Linked DNA regions of Drosophila melanogaster. The protein of the gene in region 2 interacts with the protein of the main gene of each other region in a pairwise test. Each region holds a gene or a part of one and is shown on either strand. Other genes may lie near its edges.

Region 1 (3,753 bases), on a different chromosome or scaffold from region 2:
TGTTACGAATTCAACGAGGTATGACATTCCACTTTTTGACAACTATTTTTATTGCTATAAAAAAAAAATTAGTATAATTACACAATTTGTGGCAAATTTATTAGATTTTTGGATTTTAGATGTTTTTTTTTTAGATTGGCTCACCATCCTAATTTTATGATTTATGTTACTTGCTTACTGATTTCGTTCGATTGGAAATTCAATTCACAGTTGCAAGTTTTTTTTTTTAATGATTTGTCGAATTTGCTTTTTATTTTAAACCGTAAATTATTTAGAATGAAATTTGAATAAACAATACAAACTATAACTATTGATTCTGCATCTGCAATTTGCACTATTAACTTTGTAATTTATTGGTAGATAAAAAAAATAGCAAATCGGGGATAGTATACTATCTCCGAATGCTTTGGCAAAGCCGGTATCCACTTTTTCCAAGATTCCATCCATTAGATTCCTTATTCTACGTCCTGCGCCGTTTGCCCAGACTGAGATCGGTGGCTCCGCCTTCCGGCTTGAGGCGTCGCTTGCTACTCCGTCCGCTGGCCGATTTTACACCGGATACGGTGCCACTGATTCGCTGAGTCTCGGCCATGGCCAGCGGAGCAGTGGTCAACGGCAGGGGTGGGCCGTTTAACGGATGCCCAAGTGGGAGTGTAGACTCCAGGAGAAGCTCGCTTTTGACAACGGCTCCCGGGGCAATCATCAGCAGGTCGTTGCCAGCGTTTCCGTTGGCATGTCCGTGCCCAATGCCATTCCTGTGCATCTGCCCGTCGGTGCGTTCACACTTGATGTGCCGTACAGGCGGAACATCTGGATTCTCCAGATTCTCCCCGTCCGCCGCATGGCCATTGGCCATCCTATTGTCGTTGTTGTTCGGCTCCATTTGAGCCCTGATCGGATGCGAGGGCGCCTGCCGCTGCTGCCACTCGAGGATGCCCGTCAGCAGCTTAATGTACTTAATGGCCGAGCGCAGGATCTCGTTCTTCGATAGCTTCTTGTCCGGCGGATGTGTGGGCACCAGCTTGCGCAGCTCTGCAAAGGCACCGGACACGTTCTGCTGGCGCCATCGCTCCCTTGTGTTGGTGAACACCTTGCGCACACCGCCGGTGGCTCCTACGCCGCTGCCGCCGCCACTGGATGCATTGCCGCCGGAGCCATTGCCTCCACCACCGCCGCTACCGCCGACTGAGCTTCCGGAGCTGGCCGGCGCGGTCAGCAGTCCGTTGCGGGAGTGACTGCGCGGCGAACTGGACAGTGAGCGATTCGCTGCGGGCGGAACAAAGGAATCGAGCGTTATGTATATAAGAAATTGGGAACTACGGGATGTTCTAGGAGCTCTAAAGTTTTAAAGACTAAGCCTCACCATCCGCCTGGTTGCCATTCAGAACGATGTAATCGCGAAGATCCTCCTCGTCCTCCTCCGTGTCGTTGAGCGAGAAGTCGGAAAGCTCCGCGTCACCGTCTCCATCGGATATGGACTCCGTCTTGGGCTGCAGGTGGGGCGTGGCATGTCGGAGCAGGGCGGGCGGATGCCTGCCAGCGGCAGTGTCCCGCATGCTACCATTACCGTTCAGGTGCCCGGATCGCGGTGACTCGTTGGTCTGGCTGTGGCCGGAGGATCCGCTCGAGGCGGTGCTCCGTTCGTCCGCGTTATCCGCTCCGTTCGAGCTGCTCGGTAGCCAGGCCATCTCTCCGATTCGCCGGAGCAGAGGATACGTGCGTTCTGTTGCGTTCGAAGCGCAGCAGCAAAGTGAGCAACTGACTGGGTAACTGGCACTGTGTGTCTGGGAACCAACCCCCTATGGACAGAGGGCGGGGCCAATGGCGCAGCATCCACCCCCGGACGAGGCATACACACAAAATGGGCGTACTCGTACATACATATGTATGTACGTTTGGGTTACCAATGTTGGGCTGACTTCTTACCGAGCCTGTTACTTTTTGATTAGATTAGATACCAAAACATAAAACGAGTATGAGCAAACTATAATATATATTAGCATAAGCAGCTGTCTTAGAAGTAAATGAAATTCATAATTTATTTAGTAATTTAAACGTATCCAATGCCAATCCAGTAACTGCACATGCCAGGACAACAAACATTCTCAGTTGTTCCTTTCATAGAGCCCAATGTATCTATACACGACTACTGATGACCGATGGGATGGGGTATGCCCACACTTAGACGCTTCTTGGGCTGCTTTGCCGGCGGCTGCGAGGGTCGCGCCACATCGCCCACCTGCTCCCGATCCCGGTCCTGTTCCTTTCGCTCACCCGGTGTCTCCGGCATGGCGGACTCCATTGCAAACTGGGGCGATGTCCTGTCCCCGGGCGCACCATTTGCACTGGGCACAAGCACGGGCGTTAGATTCTGTCTCATCATGGGCGAGGGATTGACGAATATCATCTTGTCGAGCATCTCCTCGCAAATACCGGCGTGACCCTCGCGCACCACGCGCGGCCGGAAGATGTACGAGGTGGCCGACATGCGGGCATCCATATACTGCACCTGCACCTCCACGGGAAAGTCGCTGCCCAGTACCTCGCCAATCTCAAACGGAGCGCTGTCCGCCACGTGCAGTCGCAGCGGCAGGCGCGGCGACATCTTGAAGGTGACGCGCCGCACGAACCGCGACAGGTCGCCGCCATCGCGACCTGGGCGCAGGTAGACGCCCCACGTCGGCTCCAGCATGTAGGGCATGTCCGGATCGCACTGTTCCATGCGGCAGCCGATCACGATGTCCCGACTGATCACACAGCGCCCGGTGACAGTGATCGGCGGAGTGCGGTTGCAGCTCACCCGCTGGCAGTCATCGACCACATTCTGATGGCGCAGGAGATTTGTGTAGCTCATCACGATTCAAAAAAAAAAAAAAAAAAAAAACTAATTTCAATTTATGTTTAACTAAAAATTTTTCTACGAAAATTTGAAGGCAACTTTAACTTGTTTGCTTGGTGTGATGCTTTTTCAAATCGAGAGCGACAGCAAAAACAGAAGCCCACTAGATATGCATTTAACTAAAGTAATAACTAATGTACATATAATTTTTTATAGATTTTATCATACTACCTAATAACCGTTGCATGTCTGCTACCTTGTTTTCCCCCTCGAAGCAGATGTTAATCCCAACTTGGGATTAAGGTTCTTCAAAAGTTTCGCGAAAGGCGTTGAAATTTCAACGCCTTCGTCGTCCTACAACGGGCCATCTCCGATTTTTTCACGCCTTAAACTGTGATTTTTTCTAATTAATTAACGCAGAATTTGTTGGTGGACTAGGGAAGAGTTAGCGGACTTGGGAGTACGCAATGCGCAGACTCCGAAGGGCGGAGTTAAGTGCTAAGTCAGAGGAATTTGGGGTTGGTGCGGCCCGGGCATTTACTTGGCCGGGAATATTCCGGGCACAGCGACGTTACTTCAGTTCAGCGGGGCAGCTGAATTCTAATGTGGACATTTTGAGGATAGCGAGACCATTCAGTGCAATCTGTAGGTGCTCCAAGGCCAAGGACTTCGTTTAAAGGTCTGCTTCAAGTCCACCTGATCTGAGCCCCGTATCTGTTATATTCCTTCATAAGTTGCCAACCGAGCAGCTCTAAACGAGACTTCCCAAGGAAACCTAGTTTGGAGAATATGACACTATATTTCTGATATTAATTTAAACTGTTCATTACATTGATATAATTTTTTTACAGACATCTATCTCATCAGAAAGTAGTCAAGTGCTGAAGTAATTTCACTTGAGCTTGTATCTCCGT
Region 2 (3,753 bases):
AGCAACCTCTCGGCAAAAACAACAAAACGCCGCAAAAGTCGAGCTTCGAGTTGACGCCGACTGCGCTGCCCGGCTTGTGAATCAGCGAAGCGAGCAGAGCAGCAGCAGCAACAACAACAACAACCATGTGGGCAGCGCTTAAGGCTTTTTTTTTGTGTGCACGAACGTGAGCCTTTAGCCCCCCTTTCCCACCACTGCCCATTGGCGTGTTAACTTGATTTTTCTTGGGGCCACGCAAGAGCGAAACACGAAAAACAAAGAAAATGCCCCACAACAACAACAAGGGCAACAACAAAAACAATGCAATTACAGCCGGAGCAACAGGCGCAGCAGCAACAACAACTCACGATTTTCAAGATTGCTCACAAGAGCAGGGGCGTAGGCAGGACATGAGAAGGGGTGAGGTTACCAGGAGTGAAAGGAATTCCTTACTATATATACTTGTATATAACAACGATCTAATCTTCAATGAAATGCCAAAAAAAAGATAATTTGCTTTTTGTTAAATAGGAACGATAATGTAGGATTAAAAATTTAAAGTATTTATTGTGGTTGGGGCAAATAACCCCCTTCGACGCAAATGCTTACGCCCGTGCAGAGAGGCGAAAAGAGAGCTGGAGAGTGATATCAAGGGGGAGGTGGGCGAGAGAGTGGGCGAGTGGGAGTACGGAAGCATGGCGAGAGCGCGGTGGGAGGGGGTAGAGGAGCAACGAAAAGGGAGCAGCGTGACCAAAGCGTAAAAGGCAACAACAACGGCGTAGCCAGCGCCAACGCCGCTGTCAACGTCAACGTCGACGTCGAAAAAAAATTTATTGACGTCCGAGCAGCAGCGCTAAAGTAAAACCGTGCGCCTTCAACTTTTTTTATTCGCATTTGCTTTTCTTCTTATTTTTAGCTTTTTGTTGTTGGTTTCCTTTTTATGCAAGTATATACATATGTACCTTCGTACATATGTACATATATCTAAGTAATTGACTTTAATTATTGGCCGCTTCTTTGGTTATTTTCCATTTTCAGGGCGATCTTCGGTAAAATGCCCATAAATGCCTGAAAACCCGCGATCGTTTTTTATGGAGTGTTAAAAAATGGCTTGCAGGTGAAAAATTACTAATATTCGCGTTTTGTTTAGTATAAGCCTTTACGATAAGCCATATACGACAAATTTGACTAGTTTTCGATTTTGAAAACGTAAACATGTTTCTCATCCTTCATCCTGTGATTTAAATAATTATTAAATTCAAATAAAATTAAATAAATTTAAAGCATTCAGCAATTAAGAGATAATCTTATACATACATACATATTCTAAATAACTAACCATATTTAAACAGGAAGAGACAAACTCACCTTTATATTTTTTCGCATCCGACTTATATAATCACTTTTGAGTCACTTTTGGCTGCCTAGGATAGCGTGTTTTCTTCTAATTTGTATTCCATTGGCGTGGGTAGTGGGGTTCTGCCCCTGTGATATATGGAGCCAGGTTCCCAGATCCGCTTCGAATGCTTTGGGCTAGGCTCCCGATTGCTTTGGTCTCTCGGTCTCGAAATATTGGCGATCGTGACTGCAGCGCTTAGTTATCTTATTTTGTTGTTTTTTTTTTTTTTTTTTTTTTGCTATAAAACTCGTTTGTATCGGATCCCCTCACACGTCCACAGACACCCACTCGACTTGGTCCGTGTGGAAACGGCCTGGTTTATCGGTCTCGGTCGGTCTCGGTCCCTGGCTTCTATCTTCTGGTCTGCGGGATTGGTTCGTCCGTGTTCAAGGCACGAGCATCTGGCCATGTGCATTGTGTCCTATCTGTGTGGGGAAACCAGTATGTCGCTGTTTGCGAATGGGGATTGGGGATTTGGGGAGCAATGCTCGGCTTCTCATTACCCAGGTGTTCGAACTTTTCGGTGCGTGTGTGTGCATATCGTGTATGTGGATACTTACTCGAGCTTGCAGGTGCTTCATGTGGCTGGCACGATATTACGCTGGGCGACGTTATTCTAGGCATACTCATAAAAGTTGTATATATAATAATATAAATTATACCTGCTTTTAATATTTATAAAGTAATGAATGCTATGGCCGTAGGAATTGTGCATTTTCTATCTGAAATATACTCATTTTGAATAGGCACTTTCTTGCTTTAGGTTTAGTATCTTATGTACATAAAATATGGTCAAGTTCACTGCCCGCGAGATACTTTTTACTTAAGTCGCTATTTATAATCTAGTTAACATATTTATTTAATTATTTATATAGTAGTTAATTGTTTAAGCCAACCAATGAAAACAAACAATTTGATCAATTGAAAAAATGTGTATTTCTTTTTGGATCCTTTTTAAGTATAACTTTTTTTCTTGAAACTATGTAAATTCGCTTACGATAATTAGAATCGGATCGTAAATCTATATAATATATGCGTTACTATATCAGTAAGGTTTTTGTGGGATACGCGCAGATATCCGCGCTAAATTGGATCACATTATAGGCAATATAATGCTGGATATATTATTACACATAAGCATAGAATAAACATATTTGGCAAAATTGGGGTTTTCTTCCTAATATCTAAGGGGTGAGGTGGCGACTAAAAACAAAACTAATGTACGTCGATTATTAACCGAAACATTGGAAATGGGAAAACATTCTATAACACAAAGATCGAGGCAATAAACTCTGGCTATATATAGTATAGTGAACCTTAGGCTAACATATTAAAACCGATTGATTCTAGGGGTGAAGGGAAGTGCGCAGCGTTAAATGATATGCAAGATGGTTTAGAACTTCAGACAAACAACTTAACTATGTACAACAAAGCTACGATCTAAAGTTAAGCAAGTCGGAGGATCTTTTGAAACTCTCAACTTAAGCGTGTGTGTGTAATTGGTTATTTCGGGTCGATTTTCTTAAACAAAAATCAAAGTACCACTAATTTATCTTTTGTCTCTTCCACGAAGATTTGTTTTGAACACTACGGGAAATATACATTTTAAACCATTTTTAATCCTTTACATATTACACCAAAGGTATTCTTAATTCAATTTTCTTTCTAAAAAAATATTGCTTGTGGTTTTTATAACAAAACCTTTGGTTGAGTTTTAGAACTTAAAAATGATCAAGCTATGCAATTTTATTCGAAAATATTTTCTAAAGCATTCAAAACAAATCAGCTAAAGTGCAGCAATGATTAACTTTTGGCTCCTGAGATTATAAGCATTTCTTAGAATTTCCTAAAATCGACCCCTAAACTAAGTTAATCTGTGTATGTTCTTAAAGCTTTTGCGGCACATCTTTGCTGACGGCTCCCGTTCGCTCGTGATTGACCACAAACTTCTTGGCGCCCGACAATCCCTGCTTGTTAATGTAGAAGCTCTTTTGGGCCAGCGGCGAACCACCGCCATCGGAATCAACCACCAGGCGATTCAGGAAAGTGGCAGCCGTCTTGGCACCACTATCGCAGGAGGATGACTCTATGCTAATGGTGGAGCATCCACCGATCGATGAGGTCTCACTTTTGGCATCGTCCATCAGAGTGGCATCATCCACCAGGTCGTTGACCAGCACCTGCGTACTGGACGATGCGGTGGACACTATGGAAGAGGTGCGACTGCGGCAGGAGTGCGTCTCCGATTCGGGTATCGAGATACCCTCGTCGATGCTTTGGCTCTGACTGCCGCCGGAAACGAGGCACATGGCTGCCTCCAGATTGGGACCGCTGCCAACACCTCCGGGCGAGGCGGAAACAGGCGACGGACATCC

Evidence for each region. The genes of interacting proteins can lie anywhere in the genome.
Region 1: the proteins of CG4496 (region 2) and HLH3B interact in a two-hybrid assay, tested with the Drosophila melanogaster proteins (one large-scale study listed by BioGRID).

Annotation. Positions count from the first base shown.
Region 1 is NC_004354.4:2,679,971-2,683,723, forward strand, and holds HLH3B (helix loop helix protein 3B), read right to left. Parts: upstream 1,754-3,753; 5' UTR 1,689-1,753; coding exon 1,364-1,688; intron 1,267-1,363; coding exon 461-1,266; 3' UTR 229-460; downstream 1-228. Other genes in the region: CG2652 (uncharacterized protein), read right to left, coding at 2,147-2,854.
Region 2 is NT_033779.5:7,188,138-7,191,890, forward strand, and holds the start of CG4496 (uncharacterized protein), read right to left. Parts: upstream 1,874-3,753; 5' UTR 1,348-1,873; intron 1-1,347. Other genes in the region: CG4497 (uncharacterized protein), read right to left, coding at 3,265-3,753.